3 linked regions of the Cricetulus griseus genome follow. The protein of the gene in region 2 interacts with the protein of the main gene of each other region in a biochemical or structural test. Links are inferred from orthologs where the notes say so. Each region holds a gene or a part of one and is shown on either strand. Other genes may lie near its edges.

The links. The genes of interacting proteins can lie anywhere in the genome.
Region 1: the proteins of Tjp1 (region 2) and Cgn form a complex in vitro, tested with the Homo sapiens proteins (2 studies listed by BioGRID and IntAct, with this or other methods). The link is inferred for Cricetulus griseus from reciprocal best matches to the Homo sapiens genes TJP1 and CGN.
Region 3: the proteins of Tjp1 (region 2) and Cldn7 form a complex in vitro, tested with the Homo sapiens proteins (2 studies listed by BioGRID and IntAct, with this or other methods). The link is inferred for Cricetulus griseus from reciprocal best matches to the Homo sapiens genes TJP1 and CLDN7.

What each region holds. Positions count from the first base shown.
Region 1 is NW_023276806.1:61,736,774-61,743,015, reverse strand, and holds the start of Cgn (cingulin), read right to left. Parts: upstream 2,953-6,242; 5' UTR 2,944-2,952; coding exon 2,089-2,943; intron 1,543-2,088; coding exon 1,442-1,542; intron 1,316-1,441; coding exon 1,246-1,315; intron 1,153-1,245; coding exon 1,057-1,152; intron 1-1,056. UniProt on the Homo sapiens protein: Probably plays a role in the formation and regulation of the tight junction (TJ) paracellular permeability barrier.
Region 2 is NC_048596.1:131,896,139-131,903,737, forward strand, and holds the start of Tjp1 (tight junction protein ZO-1), read left to right. Parts: upstream 1-2,929; 5' UTR 2,930-3,345; coding exon 3,346-3,372; intron 3,373-7,599. UniProt on the Homo sapiens protein: TJP1, TJP2, and TJP3 are closely related scaffolding proteins that link tight junction (TJ) transmembrane proteins such as claudins, junctional adhesion molecules, and occludin to the actin cytoskeleton.
Region 3 is NC_048600.1:83,813,485-83,818,850, reverse strand, and holds Cldn7 (claudin-7), read right to left. Parts: upstream 2,275-5,366; coding exon 2,052-2,274; intron 1,265-2,051; coding exon 1,100-1,264; intron 989-1,099; coding exon 904-988; intron 816-903; coding exon 653-815; downstream 1-652. UniProt on the Homo sapiens protein: Plays a major role in tight junction-specific obliteration of the intercellular space.

The DNA.
Region 1 (6,242 bases), on a different chromosome or scaffold from region 2:
TAAACCAGGCTGGTCTTGAACTCACAGAGATCTGCCTGCCTCTGACTCCCGAGTGTTGGGACTAAAGGCATGTGCCACCAACGCCCGGCTCAGGGCCAGTCTTTTTGAGACTCTGCCCTTCCAACCCCAAAAAGAAAAGAAAAAATAAAAAAGTGTCCATAAGTTTTAGAGGAAGAGTGGATGCACTGTTTCATCCTTTCTCTACAGCTTACTACCACAAGCAATTCCCTTAACATCTCTGATGTTCAGGGTCTCTCATCAGAAAAGATCCATAGCATACTTGCACAGCCACTGTAATGATTATGTATTACCCAGGGCAGCATCTGCCATAAAAATTATACTCAAAAAATGACATTATTATCATTACCATCATAATGATGATGAGAAAAAGACTCAAGACACTTAGAATGTAAGTAATTTTCTTTCTTTCTTTTTTTTTTTGAGACATGGTTTCATGTGACCCAGTCTGTCTTCAAATGTGATAAATAGCCAGAGAGGACCTTGAATTTTTGATCCTCCTGCCTTTACTCCCTGAGTGCTGGGCTTATAAGCAAGTACCACAGTTGGTTGTAGTCACACTAGGGATTGAACCTGGGACATTTTATGCATGCAGAGTGAGTATTCTATCAACTCAGCTACACCCCTGGACAGAGAACAAAGGAAAGTTTCTAAGCTTTTTACAAGCAGTCAATAGCAGACCCTGGACAAGGACTCCTAGGGAAAACGAAAAGGAAGTAATTAGACCTCTAATGTGTTCCACCCATTAAGTCCCAGAGAAACTCAAAGGCCTTGCTGGGACACTGACTTCCTGTCTCACACATAGAGACAGCACCGACTCAGGAGACCCAGGCCAGATGGGCATGGTGGCTCATGCCTCTGAGTCCACAAATCGAAGAAGATCTCTGTGACTACAAAGACAGCCAGGGTTACTCAGCAAGACACCCCCACACACATACACACACATACACACATACAAAAGAGCCAGTCTAGCTCGTCCCCAGGACATTCATCTTCCCTGTGGCCCTTCACCTCTCCCACACCTCTAGCCTGCCTTACCTTCACCTCCTCATCCAGCTTTTTCTGGAGCTCCTCCACTTTTCGGGTAAGCTCACCCTGCCCTGCCAGGGCCTTAGTAGAAGCAGGAGAAACCATCTGCCAGAGGTATAGGAGACAAGGGGGCGGGAAGTGAGTCCAAACCCCTAGAGGCCTCCTGGCCCAAGTCTTGACCCCAGGAAGGTCACTCACCCCCACAGGCTGCATCTGCTCCAACACCAAACTAACTTTCCTCCTTACAGCTGCTTCACTTTCTGAGCTTCTGGAGGACAGAAGGACAGAAGCAACAGTGAACAGAGGGGAGGGAAGATGAGGAAAGAGATGGGAAGGGAAGGCAGAGGGACAAGAAAGGAAGTGTATGTCCCACTACCGGGGGGACCCCACTCACCCCTCCCTTAGGATGCCATAGATGGTGGCCTTCACATGGTCCGCGCTGCCTGGCGGTGCTGCCTCCCGCTGGTCTCGGAGAAGGTCTGGAGTTGATTTGAACTGTAGGAGAAACGAAGGGGAAAAAAGGAAGGAGAGAAGACGCCAGAGTACATATGTGGTTCAAATGGAACACAGGTGACAGCGGAGAGGCGAAGCCTAACTCAGCATAACTAACAATGCTGCTCAGGACACACTGTGTGCTATCAATGCAAATCACTTTTCTCAATAACCAGCTGGGAGCTATGTCACTAACACCAACAGATGTGCTGGAATTTATAAATGCACACAGAGTTCCAGAACGCACTTAAGTTTGTCTCCCCACCAGGAGAAAGCGTGGACTTGAACTATTAGGGGAGCTTCCATACCCTCCAAGCCTGCATTACAAAAGGTGCTGGACCTAAAGAATTAACCTTTGCCGATGACTGAAGAATGACTAATTTCTCCATGCTCATTTCCATTTTCCTTAGAAGTTTACCCATGAATGTATGTCACCTAAGTGGATAAGATGGAGAACAAAAGGCAGAGACTATCTGCCCTGAATTAACAAAGGATTCCGTGGGCTGATGCAAAGCTGAGGGTTGGCAGTGGGGAGGGATGACTTCTGACCTGCACCGTGGTGGGATCCGGTATTTTCTCCCGTGGTTCCTCAAAGCTCTGTAGGACCCAGTCTTGAGTCTGCCGGGAACGGCTAAAGCTGCTGAGAGGGCTCTGGCTCTTGGATGGCTGCTTTGAACTGTTCACTTGGTTGTCATACTTTGTGCCAGGGGTCCAGTGGTTGGGGGACTGGTGTTCCCGATCCCGATCGTGGGTATCCCGTGACAGCCGGCTGTCCAGACTCTGGCTCCGCTTGCGCTGTTCATGAGGAAGCGTCCGCGTGCGGCGGCCAATCCGGCCCCGGCCCTGGCCCCCGATTTGACTATCAAACTTGTTGATGAGTGAGTCCACTGAAGACAAGGGGGCAGTGTCAATGGTGTTAACCGGGGGAGTCTTTTCAGGGGCTAGCTCCAACAAGCTGGTGCTCCTATTGGTAGGACTCACAGAAGCAAGCCCTGTCAGAGAGGCTTGCGACTGGGATCGGAGCAGTCTTCCATTCCAGTGGTCCTTGAGCTCCTCATCAGATGTGCTGCCCTGAGAAGCGGCAGGAACCCCCTTGAATTGAGAGTAGGGGTTCTCAGGGATCTCTGGATCAGAGCTCGGTGTTCCTGGGGACCCCCGGTTGTTGCCCCCCTTGATTTGGACCCCAAAGGAGTCACTCCCCTTCTCTCCACTGTTAAGCACCACAAAAGGCTGTCCAGCAATGCCCTGCACACGCACAGCGACCCCATAGGTACTGGCTCTTGCATCCTTAGGAGGGCGTCTCCCACCGCGACGAAGGGTACCCATCTCAGTAGCACCCTCCGGCTCTGTGATAAAGCGAATTTGGACTCCATGGTCTACAGGACCCCGAGGATCAGCCATCATGTGTGCCTGCTCCACATGTAGGAGAAGGGGTCCTAGAAGATAAAGAAAACAGTTTTTAGCTGAGGAGCCTGAAGTAGACACCCAGCTTTAAGGACGTTGACTACCTTGTCTGTTTCTTCTATAGAAATGCAGTATATGGGAGTCTACCCCAGTTTCTGACTTATTAGTCCTGGAGCTGGACCTGAGAATTTGAATTCCTCAGCAACTTCTCTCGGGTGATGCTGATACTCCCAGTCCAGATAGCACACTTTGAAGGCTAGGAAGGTAGTTCGTTAGTAGACAGCTTGCCTAGTATGTATAGGTCCTTCTAACATAAAAGGAAAAAAATATAAATAAAACAGGTAATATACTTTGAGGCCCACAGACCCAAAATAATTTATTTCCTGTGATGTAATCCTGGGGATTGTGGCTTATTAAGACTTTGAGGATGTCTACTGATCTTCACATACAACACAGCCAAGGGTCTCTCCCATGTAAAGGTGGATGCCCAACCTTGCCTATCTGATTCCTCCAACTCCCTTAAAAAAAGAAGCCCCCTATTGCAGAGTTTATTAAAACATATAGATCACAAAATGTGGCATCCATCTCTGGGAGGGCACTTAAACTGATACTGATACAGCAGTCATGTCTCTGGAGTGAAGGTACTGAGGGCTGGACAGACAGAGGAGGTTTACTTTCTGGGCTTCCCACTGTGTAGCTTTCTGTCCTTCTGAACTTCATACTGTGTAGATGTACTGCCTATTTGAGAAAGGACTTCTAGCCAGGTTGTGACTTGGTGGTATAGCATTTGTCTAACGTGTGAGATCTGGATTCAATCCCCAGCACCAAGAGAGAAAAGAAAGGAGGAGGGACTTAAACATGATTTTTTTCTTTTTTTTTCTTTTTTTCTTTTTTTTTTTTTTTTTTTTTGGCTTTTTGAGACAGGGTTTCTCTATGGCTTTGGAGGCTGTCCTGGAACTAGCTCTTGTAGACCAGACTGGTCTCGAACTCACAGAGATCTGCCTGCCTCTGCCTCCCGAGTGCTGGGACTAAAGGAGTGAGCCACCAAGGCCCGGCTGAGGACCTTGATTTCTGATCCTTCTATCTCCACTTCTTGCATACAAAGGCTAGCCACTGGGCCTGGTTTTATGCAGTGTGGGCTGGAACTCAGGGCTTCATGTATGCTAGGCAAGCACTCTACCAACAGAGCATTAGCAACCTTTAAATAGGTTTTTAGTGTGCCAATCCAAGAACCCATAGGAGACAGGCTGTGGGATAGAGCCAGGGCCATTCACAGGCCAACTTCCTGGGCCACATCGCCTAAGCTTAGAGTCAGTAAATGGAATGTGTTCCAGGTGTACTCTGACTCCTGGAACTTGGGAGGGAGATTTTTGTTCCAAGCAAATTGAAGGACAACCAATGCAGCTTCCTCATGCCTTCTGCTGGTCTCTACTGGAGCCCAGCAATGAGCTGGTGGGAGGAACCTCAGGTGTGCCAGACAGAAATGCAATCATATCCAATTCAACCTCCCTGCGGGGCTCTGGGCCAAGTAAACTTGGCAAAGTCCCTCTCGGAGATAGTAGAAGCTCTAGGAAGCCAGAAAACCCGGGCAGCTGAAGGGAGGGGATGCGCAGGAGGGACAGAATCCAGGTGGGGAAGGGTGTGGGGGAGAAATGGACACTGAGGGCACTCTTAGCATTCCCAGACCTTCCCAACTGGAGAAAATGAATGGAAGGGAAAGCCTTTATTGAGAATGATTTACTTTGGGGGTCCTGGGACTGTAAAGCAATGCACCTCCTCCATGACACAGCCCACACAAAGTTTTAACACAGAAATTTTTAAGGTTTTGAGGGCAGAAGGGAGAGGCGCTCCAAATTACTCAAGAAAAAGAAAAGGCACCAGGGCAGTGACTGTCAACCTGTGGGTGGAGATCCTTTTGGAGTCAAATGACCCTTTCACAGGGGTCACCTAAGACCATCAGAAAACATAGACATTTACATATTTACATGCATATCCTGACTCATAACAGTAGCAAAATTACAGTTACGAAGTAGCAATGAAACTTCTTTTATGGCTGGGGGGTCACTACAACATGAGGAACTATATTAAAGGGCTGCAGTGTTAAGAAGGTTGAGAATCACTGTGCTAGAGTCAGCTCTTGTGAGGCTGAGGCAGGAGGATTGCCATGAGTTCAAGATCAGCTTCAGTTGCATAGCGAGACTTTGCCTCACTAAAAATACATAGTAAACAAACTGCTTGCCTCCTTTCTCCACATGCAATAATCTTATAACATGTTTTTTGTTGTTGTTTGTTTGTTTTTTGAGACAGGGTTTAAGTAGCCCAGGCTGGTCCATAGGTCTAAGTAGCCCAAGCTGGTCCTGAACTCACTAAGTAGCTGAAGATTGTTGCTGAGGAAATTGAGGTTCCTTCTCTGGGGTCTTCAGTTTCATTAATACAAGAATTTATAAATGGACTCAGAAGGAAGCTTTAAAACAATTTTATTAGAGTTTGAGGGGGAAAACAACATGGCAGACAAACTGTCAATCTCAGCAGTTGCCAGGAGGAGGGAAATGGAAATATGTTGGCAGAAGTGGGAAAAGAGAAAGCCATGCCTTTAAGAAAGAAGGCAGCTTTAGTAACAGAGGGCAGCATCCAAACACATGGCAGACAAGCAGCTGCATGGCAGAAGGGGCTTCAGAGGAAAAGAGAAAGCCCAGTGTGTATGGAAAAGTATGCCCAAGCTCTGGCAGATAACTAAAAGGAAAAAAGAAACAGAAGATGCAAAATTGTGCTGGTCTCACTGGGAAAAGCAGATAGCTTCTTGCAGAGCTTCCATCATTTACATATACTCCCAGTAGGTTTACCTCAGTTTACCTCTGTACATTCACTGAAGAGATTAGTTCCTGTCTCTTCCACTAGACAATAAGCTCCTCCAGGGCAAAGACCAAGACTCTCAGCAGCATGGAGAATGTAAATGAATAAATCTCTCAAGGCTGTATCCTGAACCAAGGCAGACTCTCCCAGCAACAGAAAGATATGCCCATGAAGGTCTCATAGCATTCTTTGTGCATTAGTAATGGCCGCCTTCCTGGTCTGGACTCTCTGCCCCACAGTCCTGATCTTACAATCAGGTGTCCCTAAACTGCCAGCTCTCAGAAGTCACATGAGTTATTCATGATGACGATCTGCCCTGTCAGTATATCTGCAGATCTTCCAGATCAGGTCAAGGAGCTCCCAAGTAGGCACAGCAAAGTGACCAACCCCTTAGCCCAGAGTGCCAGACAACACAGGGGTGCTACCCAGTGTTCCCCTACAAAGAC
Region 2 (7,599 bases):
CACACACACACACACACACACACAAAGAGAGAGAGAGAGAGAGAGAGAGAGAGAGAGAGAGAGAGAGAGAGAGAGAAGTAAATAAGTATAAACTAAAATTGGGATTGATAGCCATACGTATGTATGCATGCATGTATGTATGTATGTATGTAGACAGGTCACCCTATATAGCCCTGGCTGTCGTGGAAACATGTAGACAAGCTGGCCTCAGAATCACTGAGGTCCTCCTGCCCCAGCCTCTGTCCTCTGCTATGGCTAAAGATGTGCACACCATGCCCAGCTTGTTTAAGGATTCTAGAAACTTGACAAGTCACGGAAAGTTTCTTCCCCATTTTGCTCAGCTCTGTGACATATGAAAGTCCTGAAGCCATTCGCAGACTCTTTAGTGATGTGGTCTGGTCAAAACATCCAATGATGATACCTGCTAATAGTGTTGGGGTGTGTGTGTGTGTGTGTGTGTGTGTGTGTGTGTGTGTGTGTGTGTGTGTGTGTACGTATTCTTCTGTTGCGTTATCAAGATCACCTTATGGTGCCCAACATTTCCTCTTTCCTTTTCAAAAGTAAACTCACAGCTCTTACCAAAAGTAACACTAATAAAGTTTTTTTTTTAGAGATTGTTGTTGTTTTTTTGTTTTGTTTTTACAGTGGAAACAAAAATCCACATATGTAAAATGTAAGTGTAGGTATAGTTCATTGAGTCAGGGCTGTTTTATTAAGTAAGTCTAAGATTTCTAAAGACTCTGAATGCTTAGTGCTTCTTGCATTCTGACCACAGACACCAGAAATCCCACAGGAAGTTGTGCTTCTGAGTGTTGTGGTTTTTAGTTTCCTGTTCCTCTGCATTAGATCAGAAAGAAATCTGTACACAAAGGGAAATTCTTGGTTGAACTTTCTTGTAACTCTAAATGAGATTCTCTAACTCACTTGGATTTCTTCCCTTTTGATTTAAACCTAGAGAAAATGTAGCCACATTCATCTGTACTCATTAATGTCATGGTACACTTTGAAAACTTTTTGGTGTTCAGTGGATAAACTCTTATTCAAGTTAAGGGTGTGTCTCAGAGATTATGCTATATTCTGTCCACTCCAGTTTATCTGGGGAAAGGTCATATTGAAGCACCTTCCCACAGATAAACTGTAGGGCGGCAGAGCTAGATTCCTGACAACAGTGTTTTTCTTTAAAATTATTTTCTGATTTCTTTATTTTTATTAGCATACAAATTAATAGGTGTCACTATGGCAGCTTAATTTCTATAAATGATAGGAACTTCCCTTGCTATTTGGAGAAGATACACAAATATAGTTTGGTTTAGATATTAAGAATATCTGTTCAATTTACCTAGTGTAACATTTAGTTCAATTTAGATAATGTAATTCCATTATTCAAAATACCATTGGAAAATTTTAAAATGTTATGTTAACTGGAAATTTTTGATACACTTTTTAAAGCAAAGTATTATGAAAGTGAAACGTTTTTATTGATTTCATTTTTTTAAAGCCATGACAAAAATTAGATCAATCAGGTATACTGGATTTGAGACAAGTTGCAGATATCTAACATTTAATTCATACAGTGGGAGACATGATAGAAGATTGTCCAAAGAGAAAAGAGGAAGAGTATGTGCATAACACACCCCATCTGCCTCTAGGCAGGTTTGCAGAATGCATTTTATTAAAAGTTAACGCACTGATGTGAAAGACCTTCAATAACCACTTTCTAAAAATACAAAACATCTAAGTGTTTTGTGATGCTGTTTTCTCAGAGGAAAAATTTAATCACTCTTCTTAAGAGAACACAGGGCACTTTGCCTTTGAAACAATCACATGCAATATGACTAAAACAAAAAAAATGACTTTAATTGGTTTCTTTCATGGCAAGAAATAGGGTTTGGTTTGCATAATTTTTTTTTCTAGTTCAACTAGCTTAGAGTTGCAAAACACATGATTTTGAAATCTTAATTGTCATATACAGATATTTCTTAGAAGTAAGTTTGATTCTGTCACGTAGCTGAATTCTAAAAACTATTGTTTAACCCTATGTTCATGCCCCACTCTACCTTGCCTGGCCATCGTAGCATTATAATAGGTACTTTAAGGATGTTATTTAATGTTACTAAAAATTCTTGATATCTGTGAAGAGCTTTGCAGTATACAGAGTGTAACTTAATGAAGCTCGAAGTGGTTTTCTACCTATTTTTCCTGTTCATCAAGGTAGCTAGCTGGCCTAAGTTTGCGCGGTGGCCGATTGAACTGGTGGTGAGTTCCGCATGTACTTACATACTTTTTTGTCCAGCTTGAGCTGGAGGGCATGGTTTTCAGAAAGGCAGGCAGCCTGGTCTATCTCTTCAGGGGCCAAGAATTTCAGCAATCTTGATAGCCCAAAAATGTCTAGGGAGGCATGAGAAAGAAAGTGGCTGGGATTATCTCTGGATGCCTAGATCTGTAACTTGGTTTATTTAAGGCAGTTGGCTTGTTCTGAGCCTGCTAGAGCGCTTCTGATGTACTTCAAACAAAAACACATCTCTCTTCAATAGGGTAACAATGCCCAGACACGTGGTGACAGTTGTGACCATTGTTACTTGCGAGGTTAAGGAAACCACAGTCAGGTATTGGCCAGGCTCGCCTTTCCTGCCACACTCCTGCGTGGGACTGATCTGGGGTGGCTGGCTTAGGAAGAGAGTAGACAAGTCTCCGTAGGGAGTTGAAAAGCTTAGGTACATAGAGGTGTGGGCTTCTCCGGGGCGAATTCTGCCGGATCTTTCATAGAAGCAAACAGGATGGCTCGCGCGGCAGCGGAAACCGCCTAGCAAGTTACTTGGAGAGCTGAGCTTTTCCTTCCGCGCGGGGGTCGGAGCCGGCCTGGCCCCGCCCCTCGCCGAGGCCCCGCCCCCGCCGGCTGGGCATGCTCAGTGGCCCGGTCCGGCAGGTTTTGCGTGGCTGCTTGAGTTGCCCGCGACGGCTCTGCCCGCCGACGGCACGTCTCTCGGCGGCCACGCGTTCCGGGGAAGTTACGTGCGGGAGCAGGTTTCTGAGGAGACGCCCGAGGGCGGAGGGGACGGCCGGGGGTCTCGGTCCTGCGGAGCGGCGAGCGGGCCGAGGGCGGCGGAGGCCGAGCAGGCGGCCGGGTGTGCCCCGCGGAGAAGCCCGGGCGGGGCGGACGCTTCCCGGACTTTTGTCCCACTTGAATCCCCTCCCCGTGGGCCGGGCCTTTCCGGCCGCCCCCGCCCCTGCCCCGCTCGTCCCCGGGAGATGTTTATGCGGACGGTGGCGTGAGGAGCGGGCGGGCGGGCCGGCGGCGCGGAGTTTCGGGTCCGAGGAGCCTCGCGCGGCGCCGAGAGAGACAAGATGTCCGCCAGGGCCGCGGCCGCTAAGGTGAGGGCTCACGGCCCGCCGGGCTGCGGGCGGGGCGGTGGAGGACCCGGGGCCCTGCGGGGGGCCTCGCCCCGCCCTCCCCGCGGGCGGCAGCCGGGGGCGACGGTGGCGGGGCGGGGAGGCAGGGAAGGAAGGCGGGCTGGAGACGCGCCTGCCGCCCGGGCAGGTGCACGGCTGCCGGTGCCTGGCTCCGGCTCGCGCTGGGAGGCGACGTGCAACAGGTCTCGCGCCTGGAAAGTCGCCCCGGGTGAGGATTCTCATGTCTCCGAGAGCGTGTCTGCTGAGACCCAGGGGTGTCACCTGCAGCAGGCCGGTGGGTAGCTCGGGCTGTCTCCGGAGGAGTGGTTGGTACCCGGCGAAACCCTGTAGTTTCGATCTGATGTCACCCGCTGCGGTATGCGCAATGGCAGCGATAAAGCTTTGAGACAGCAAAACACTCAGCTCGAGAGTAGCTAAGATTTTTTTTTTTTTTAGCTTTAATATTTATGTGAGGCATCAGAGGAGGAAAGTTCTTAACACTTTAATTTCAACTTTCAAAAGTATCACAAAGTGTCCCTGCACATGGACAATAAGATGGACTCAACAACAGAAAATACCCGATGAATTCTGCACAAAACAACGTTCCGGTCCATTTCCCCGTGTGTTTTGAAGTGTGTTTCTTGACACAGCATGCCTTATGTTATTAAGTACTACATTAAGCCAAAAAATTTTAAAAATCGAGTTAGAATTCTTCCCATTTATGCATTTTAGTACTTGGTCTTTCAAACAATGATAGGAACACAAAATGTGATGAGTGAAAAAACTCCCTTTAAAAAAAAATCCATTACTCAAACAACTTAAAACAGGTGGTGATTTTATATATTTTTCTATTAGAAATACTTAATCATAACCTTAGGGAGCAGATAGAAGGAAGCGCCTGAATTCTTAATAGGACCTTGTCTTTTGGCTGGCAGTAGTTAGCGGTTACAGTTAGTAGTGAATAGATTGTTTTAAGGAATGGAGTATTCCTCCCTTAGTAATAATGCTTGTATCTTATTTGAAGGCACATTGATGACCGATCTAAAACGTAAGCCTGGGACCAAAAACTAGAATCAGTGCAACATTTTGTTACTTATAAAACATAAAACTTGTTATTTACCTTTGCTGGGACTTCCTGGGAAGAAAGGCTTTGTTGCCATATTACACAGAATGTCACTTTGTTTCGAAGTGTGAGCCCTGGTACTTGTTATTCAAGACAACACAGTTGGAAAGTGTTATTACTAGAGAAGTGTTTCCAATAGCTTGCTATGGCAAGGTGATTTAGAAGGTGTGCTTACACATAAATTATGATATTGAGATTTTTATGGAACATGGCAATGCTTCTCTAGTCAAATATTTGCATGCTTAGCTGGTAATTGAAGAATTATTTTCTTGGATGCTGTATTGGGGCACACTTTGAAGTCTACATAAAGCTAGAACCCACCATAAGTGAACAGGTAAATGCAGTGCTAACCAGTTGTTTCCCTAAGTCACATTTATTGTTTTGCTTAAGAGCTCAACTCTGTCAGTGCTTTACATAGGGTGCTTTTGTTTTTCCCACCCCTGTTAAAATATTTTACAGACACTAATTTTGCAGCACAACAGTTGTAGAGCTTGTGTATAAGCCAATGCTTTTGATTCTGTATTCTTGTAATGGTTGAGTAATTTTCATCTTGCTGCTCAGGTCATCATTGCCTTTTTGAGGAGATGTTTGGCTTGTTTCCAGGATATTGTTACTGCAATGAGTACACTTTAAATAATTGTATTTACATTTTTGTATCTGTCCACTTACTACTGTATGGCAAATTCTTAAAAATGAAATTGCTATGTCAAAGAGTTCATTTGAAATTCTGATATACCCATTAAAATCTTCCTCCAGAGCCTATACTTAAGAATAAATACAACAAATGATGGTTTGTTACCCAAATCTAGGGGAATCAAACTCTGGGTGAAGAGAGTCAGAACCTACCCATGGTCCCTGAATTGATGTGTAAGTGCAGTGCAGTTCCAAGTAGAATTCCAGTGTGGTATTATAGAAAACATGATAGTTTGATGTTTATCTTACCACATAAATGAATGGAGGGAGAAAGTCCTTTCAGATAATCTAATGTATTATAAATTCAGAGTAATTTAAAGTAGGCTATTGCTTCAGGAATAGAGAATGGCGCCACACAGCCATAAATAAATAATACTTATTATTCAGAAATAAATAAATAGTACTTATTTATTGGCTGTTAGTGTTTGTGATCAACTTTTAATATGTACTGTGGTTGTTTTGTGTTGGTAATTCACTTAATTCTCACAGTAATGCTGTGAAAGTGGAAATAGTTTGCACTCTTAGCCCAACAAAAGGGAAAACTGAATATATGTCAAAATAAGAATAGATTATTGGGAAAGGATCCTTTATTCAATAAATAAGACTACTAAGGCGGGTATCTTTTTTTAAAAAAAATGTTTCTTTTATGTAACAAAATCCAGAAGAATCTTTGTTGTAGTTGTTATTTATTGTGGGTGTCTGATGGGAATGCACACATGCTGTGGCAACCCAGTGGATGACAATTTTGTGGCTTTGGTCAGTCTAGCATCTGTGAGTTACAACCACCTTTATCCACTAAGCCATCCTTCCTTCGATGCTCCTCATGAAGTTTTAAGTGTTTGAAAAAAATAACTGAAAAAGCACTAGGAGAAATGTGTAGGGAGACATAAGCTCTTGAGCTCACAACACATGCCTGAGTACTACGTGTACACACACACACACACACACACACACACACACACACACACACACACACACGTTTGAAAAGGGATTCTCTGTGCATGATGTTCAGTAAATAAAGGAAAAAGCCTTTTATCTGTATGATGCGTATCTGAATTTGCATTGAATTTTGCTTACTAGTGTACTTGGTAACAGCTATTTGGAAGTTGAAAACAGAAATTTGGGGATGGTTCTCTGCCTTACCAAATAATTGTTTAACTAGGTAAGAAAATAGTATTAATTATTAGGAACATTTTCATTGGCTGACCCATCAACAGTTACTGAAGGGAGTTGAATGGTTTCTGGAATTTCAAGTTGTATCACTTTGGAGAAACAGTAAAAATTATTGTGCCTTCCTTGGCTAGCTTATTGTTTTGCTGTGTAATGAAATGTTTGTGTCGGAGAAACAGTTTTGTTTTTGCTAGTGGCTATGTCTGAAATAATGTAGATGGGTATAAAAATGATTTATACTTTTCTTTTTTAAACCATTGCTCTGTTTATTGTGAGGGTTCTCAGGAATCTTTATCAAGTGAGGCACAGTTAGTTTTTTTAGTAGCTGAACATTTTTGAATTTTAACTGCAGAAAATAGCTAATGTTCAAAACTTATTCCACCAGTCTTTATGGATAGGGATTGTTTGCTGAGGAACTATTAAACAATTTTAGTTTGGTACTTAACTGATCAGTGAGTATTTGCTTCATATACTTCAAGAGTAAAGTAAAAACTCACTTGAGGCTCAAGATTTTCACTTTATTGAGTCTGCCACCATTTATGATCTTTGTTCTACTGATACCCCTCCCCCCCTCAGTTTGTACAGTAGTTTTCACCAGGATGTAGAATTTTAGACACAGGCTTTTAAGTATGTAGGTGTTCAGCCTTTTAGATGCTGTTCATTAAAGCTTTACTTCATGTAAATTGGTTGGTAGTCCTCATTATATTATGTAGCTTCATAACTTACTGATACAGTGCCATTTTCCCCAATAGATGTTTCCATGGCAGGAGCTTGTAAAGTGAACTTTTATTTCAGATTTGAGGAAGACTTCATGCTGCCTCTGGCTTGCTGTAGTGATAGTGTTAGCCCAACTCACCAATAGTAAGGAGCATGTGTTGGGTATTTATAGAACTGCTTCTATAAATTACAATAGCTTCACTTTTTTTTTTTTAAATCCTAGAATTGGGATTCTGCCTCTGACTTACCTGCTCTGTAATCCTTTTCTATTTAGAGACCTAATGTAAGTTCAATACAGTTGTTAAGAATAAATCAGAATAAATAAAATCACTCTAAATTTCATTTAGAGAAATGGCTTTTTTAGAAAAACCTATTTAAAAACTTTTCTGGTGGGTGTCTTTTAAAATAATAATTTTGATGAAAATTTAGGAGATACAATTTTGTTTCTTGGTTTAGCTTTAATGTGTTAATAATTCAATCTTCTGAAAGACAAGAGTCAGCTTTAA
Region 3 (5,366 bases), on a different chromosome or scaffold from region 2:
AAAGCATAGTGTACAGCAAGAGAATAAGGAACTTCTCTCTTCCCATGCCTATTTCTAATAAAACAGATACACATGAATATTAGTTGAATAAGCTCCTTGGTAACTACTTAAAGAAAAGTATATGTTGTGGGTAGGGGCTGGAGAGATAGCTCAGCAGGTAAAGGCAGTTGCCACAAGCCTGGTGACTTGAGTTCAATCCCTGGAACCCACAGAAAGGTAGAAGGAGAGACCTCCTTCCACAAAGCTGTCTCTGACCTACACATGCACACCCATATAGCATTGACCACACAGGATAGTACTTAATGAGAAAAAGAGTTTGGGGAGAATGGGTAAGAGCCTAAAAAATTAAGGACTAAAGGCCTAGGGGTACAACTGGCACTTCACTCAGTTCGATGTTACTATAGGCACACTTCAGTGCCAACTCCTGTGTGAGGATCCAGGTGTGGAGAAAGGAGGCCTGAAAAGACACCTAATTTCCAAAACTTAATTTTTATTACTGTACAAAAAGCACACCCTATGTTTTGTCGTAGTCTCCCAGTCCCTCCTCTACCCCCCCACCCCCTCCCCGCCCCCAGGACTGTACATGGTGTTCAGGGATGGAGTGACCCGGAGGCCTTTGTCCCACACCTTGCCCACAGGCCGAGCACCCGGCTCACACATATTCCTTGGCAGAATTCGACTTAGGGTAGGAGCGGGGTGCACGGTATACAGCTTTGCTTTCACTGCCAGGACAGGAGCAAGAGAGCAGGGCACCTCCCAGGAGGACCAGAGCAGACCCTGCCCAGCCAATAAAGATGGCAGGACCAAACTCATACCTGTGGAGAGAAAGGATTGGAGTCAACTGGGGCTTGATGTCCTCCTCCCTGTCCCAAGTCCACAGATTTGTCTCCCTAGAAGACTTACTTAACATTCATGGGTGTCAAGGGGTTATAAAAGTCCGTGACAATCTGATGACCAATCCAGGAGCATGCTACCAAGGCAGCAAGACCTAGAAAGAGAAAAAAAGATTCTGCTATTTATTGGGTGTCCAAACCAAGACCTTGGCATGCTGTTCTGGGTGGAAAAGAGCACTTGATCCCACGTTGGACCTGTGGCTCACCTGCCACGATGAAAACAATGCCTCCGGTCATGGCTATACGGGCCTTCTTCACTTTGTCATCACCCCCACAGCTTGTACACTTCATGCCCATCGTGGCGACAAACATGGCCAGGAATCCCAACACCAGGGACACCACCATTAGGGCTCGAGTGGCCTGCAGAGCCGCTGCAGAGGAGGAGGAGGAAGGAGGTCAATGCTGGAAATGGCATGTAGCCTTAGGATGGCGCCAGCCTAAGTGCTGCAAACCGCGCCCACTAACCCCTGGACCGCAGTGTGCCAGTTGGGCTCCACCGCCAGCCTGGGGCCCCCTCCGTCCAAGACAGTCCTTGGGCAGACAGTTCCCGCCCCCATCCCGCCACGACGGCCATCCAGCTCCCCGCCCCGCCCCAGCTTCAGAACCCGCCCGGGGCGCCGAGGTTTCGATGAAACCGCGCCAGGTAGGGGGAAGGGAGGAAGAAAGGGGGCGAAAGGGAAGTGCAGGTGGCGGCCAGGGCCCTCGTTTGAGCCACACGGGCCGGCGCGTGTCCTAGCTCTGCCCTCGCTATCGAGGCCACCGGGTTTGTGGCTTCAGCTAATCGGCCGATAAGATTAGAGGCCACAAGTGCGGTCCCACGTCTAACGAGGGCACCACTGCGGCCCTAGGCGCCTCCGTCCCGACCCCCGTTTGTCCCAGAGAAAGAAGCAGCAGACAGAGACCACTGACTGCCCAGGGGCAAGGGGCGCCTCTTCCCAGGACTCCCCACTTCAAGCGGGGCAGAGGGGCGTGAGCCCACGTGTGACTGCCGGGTCCCAGGCCCTCTTCCTCCGGATCCCACCCGACTGGGCTCAAGGCGTCCACTTCCTGCTCCCTGGCAACCCCGGGCGCCAGGCCGTGCGACCTCAGCCCTGCCCCACACCCAACCCCGCCACCTTGACTCCGGGCACGTCCGCCCCGTCGGTCCCGCGGCCTTACCCGGCAGGGCGAGCACTGAGTCGTACGTTTTGCAGCTCATCATGCCGGTACTCTGCGTGACGCACTCCATCCAGAGCCCCTTGTACATGGCCTGGGCTGTGATGATGTTGTCGCCAGCATACGAGCTCATCTGCCACTGAGGAATGGCAGTGCTCGCTATCAGGCCCACCCAGCCAAGCATGGCCATTGAAAAGCCCAGCAGTTGCAGGCCCGAATTGGCCATTTCCGTCTCAGAAAAGATGGGACGCGCCGGGAGGGCGACCCTACAGTAAAACAAAATCCGGGAAGCAACACAAGAAAATTTGGACGGAGGTTTAAGTCACCCAGAAACAGGAAAAAAGAAAGTTTTGGGTTTGTTTGGTTTTTTTTTGGGGGGGGGAGCGGTTGGCCGGTTAACTGTAAATCTTGTTAACCGAGGTAAAAACAAATCGTCCCCTCCGGTGAAGCGACACTCACAGCAGAGGGAACCGGCTTCGCCCGAAGGACTGGTTCCAGACAAAAGGGGCCCCCGAAGGCCAGGCGGCTCCCTCCGGCGTGCGCAGAGACTACCCAAAGAAGTGGAGGGGCCGCTAGGGCGTGGCCCCCAGAAAGTACGCGGGCCCCCGGGCCCAGGCTGCGGTGCTCGGCGGAGAGCTGGGCGGCGAGCAGCAGGTGCGGGCGGACAGGTGCGGCGCACCTGAGTATATATGTAGGGCGTCGGGGACGCGCTCCCGCAGGCAACGGGAGCGCGGGAGCCGGGGCGGGACCAGAGGGGCAGTGGAGGGTGACCTGACGTCACCGAAGGGACACTCACCTGAACCGGAAGTCTTGGCCCCCACCCCCTCCTTGTCCAGCCAGGTGAAGAGGAAGAAACCTGAGCGCAGCGTCACGCCCCTTCATTTGCCTGGCTCTAACCGCTGATGGGAAGTAGGTGAGGGCGTCGCACGAGTCCCTGGAGTCTCCGCTGCGGACTCCAGAGTGCCCCTTCCTTTCTTCTGCAGACAGGTGCGCCTGGGTCACTGCGGAGCCAGTCCCCTAGACGCCCTGGAAGGGCTCCCGGCCGCGCTTTCCCTGCGGGTTTCGGCGCGTACTCTTTGTCCAGCCCTGCTTTCGCCTCCACACTCACCTTTTTTCTTCAGTCTCCTACCATGGCCAATGCTGTCTTCAGGAGCCCTAGCCCGTTATGATAAAAATCACAGGTGCTACACCCTTCTAGGAATTTCTGCCTCGGAGACATGGTCTGGCAACCCTCCGCTTCACGGCTCAAGCCCTCCACGCAGGCATGGCTCTTCAGCGGCTCCACATACTGGTCCCTGAGGCCAGTACGGATAACAGGACTTACTACCCGAGCCTGTCAGTGCCTCCTCCAACATCCAGGCTCCTTCTTCCCAAAGGAAGAAAGCACAGAAACCCTTTCCTCCCAGGGTGAGGAAAGAGTAGAGTAGAACCTAGGTCAGAGTCGCTGCCACACCCAACATTCCCCTCCCCAGGTGTCGTTTCAAGCTTACCCTCCACTCTCACCTCCTTCCCCAGACACACTTTCCCTCATCCTGAGCCTCCGGGGTCCTATGTGTGTCTTTTCACACCACCTCCCACCCACTCTAGCCTCTGACTCCCCAAGGTGTCCTTGACACACCCCTAAAGAACCGGATCTCAGACTTCCCAAAGTTTGGCGGCATCCTTCTGCCCAACGTAAAGTTTCTCATTCCTCCCTTTTGCATTTTTGCTCCCTTTCAGTCTGTTTGCACCCTCCAGAGCCTAGCCGTCCAACCACACAATGTGCCTGTCACTGCCTTCCCTAACCCCCTTTTTAGTTCTTTCTCCTAGCTTGCCTCTCCTAGGACCTCCTTACCTCTCTCAGACTTTCATACATCTTTCTTACTCTTGCTATTGCTTGTTTATTTGGGCTCCCGGGGTGGGGGAGTAGTAGGGTTCCTAGACAGGGTTTCTTTGTGAAGCCCTGACTGTCCTGGAACTCACTCTGTTGACCAGGCTGGCCTCGAACTCACAGAGATCCGCCTGCCTCTGCCTCCCGAGTACTGGAACTAAAGGCGGCATGCGCCACCACTGCCCTTCTTGCTATTTTTCAGTCAGCCCCTTCCCCTTCCCCACGTTCTTCCTTCCCCTAATACATCTCTCTGTTAACCCTCCCTTCATTTATCCAATAAAGGTCCTGCTTGTTCAGCTAACTAACCTGCTTTTGTATAAAATGCAGACCTTTGTGGACTCTCTTATTTGTGACCTTTTGACTTTTGTTTTGTGGGGTGGTTTGGTTGGTTGGTTAACTTTGAGACAGGATCTCACTATATAGACTAGGCTAGACTGAACCTTACAGGAAGGCTGCCTGGCTCTGCCTCTGGCATGCTGCTGAGATTACAGACCTGAACTTCTGTGCACAGCTGGGATTTTTTTTACGTTTTTTTTTTTTTTTTTTTTTTTTTTTTTTTTCCTGCTTGGATGTGGTTGGTGCATGCTAAAGAACAGTTTGAAGCCAGCCTTCCAGGAGAGTGTCTTCCAGCTCTGAAAGTCCATGTTTCTCATTATCCCTTTGTTTTTATAACCAGCAATCATTCTCACAGCCACATGCCAACCTACTATCTACTACCTGAAGACCACAACTGGCCCCAAATCAATTTCCCTGCTTCTGCCCTTTCCTAAATCCACTCCCCAGAGTACCCAATATACTTAAATCTTGCCATTCTTTTTTAAAACAGCACTTAGTGAGGGGAGAGGGGCTTGGGAGATAGCTCAGCAATTAAGAGAGTTTACTATTCTTGCAGAGGACCAGAGTTCAGTCTCCAACACTCACACTGTGACACTCAATCCTGTTACTCCAGTTCTAGGTGATCCATTGCCTCCTCCTCCTCCTCCTCTTCGTCTTCTGTTTCTTTTTGAGACAGGGTCTCTCTGCATACCCCTAGCTGTATTGGAACTTGCTCTGTAGACCAGGATGGCCTCAAACTCAAAGATCTGCCTGCCTCTGCCTCCCAAGTGCTGGGACAACTGGCATCATCATCATCACTTTTTTCTAACTTTTTTGGTTTTTGTGAGACAGGGTCTCTCTTTGTAGCCCTGGTTGTCCTGAAACTTGCTATGGAAACCAGGCTGGCCTTGAATCACAGAAATTCTCCTGTTTCTGCTAACTGAATAATTGGATTAAAGGAGCTAGAATTTGCAGGGCAGTGGTGGCACATACCTTTAGTCCTTAGCACTCAGGAGGCAGAGGCAGATGGATCTCTGTGTTCTACAGAGTGAGTTCTAGGACAGCCAGGGCTACACAGAGAAACCCTATCACCCTGTCTCAAAAAAAGGGGGGGGGGGCTGGGCAGTGGTGGC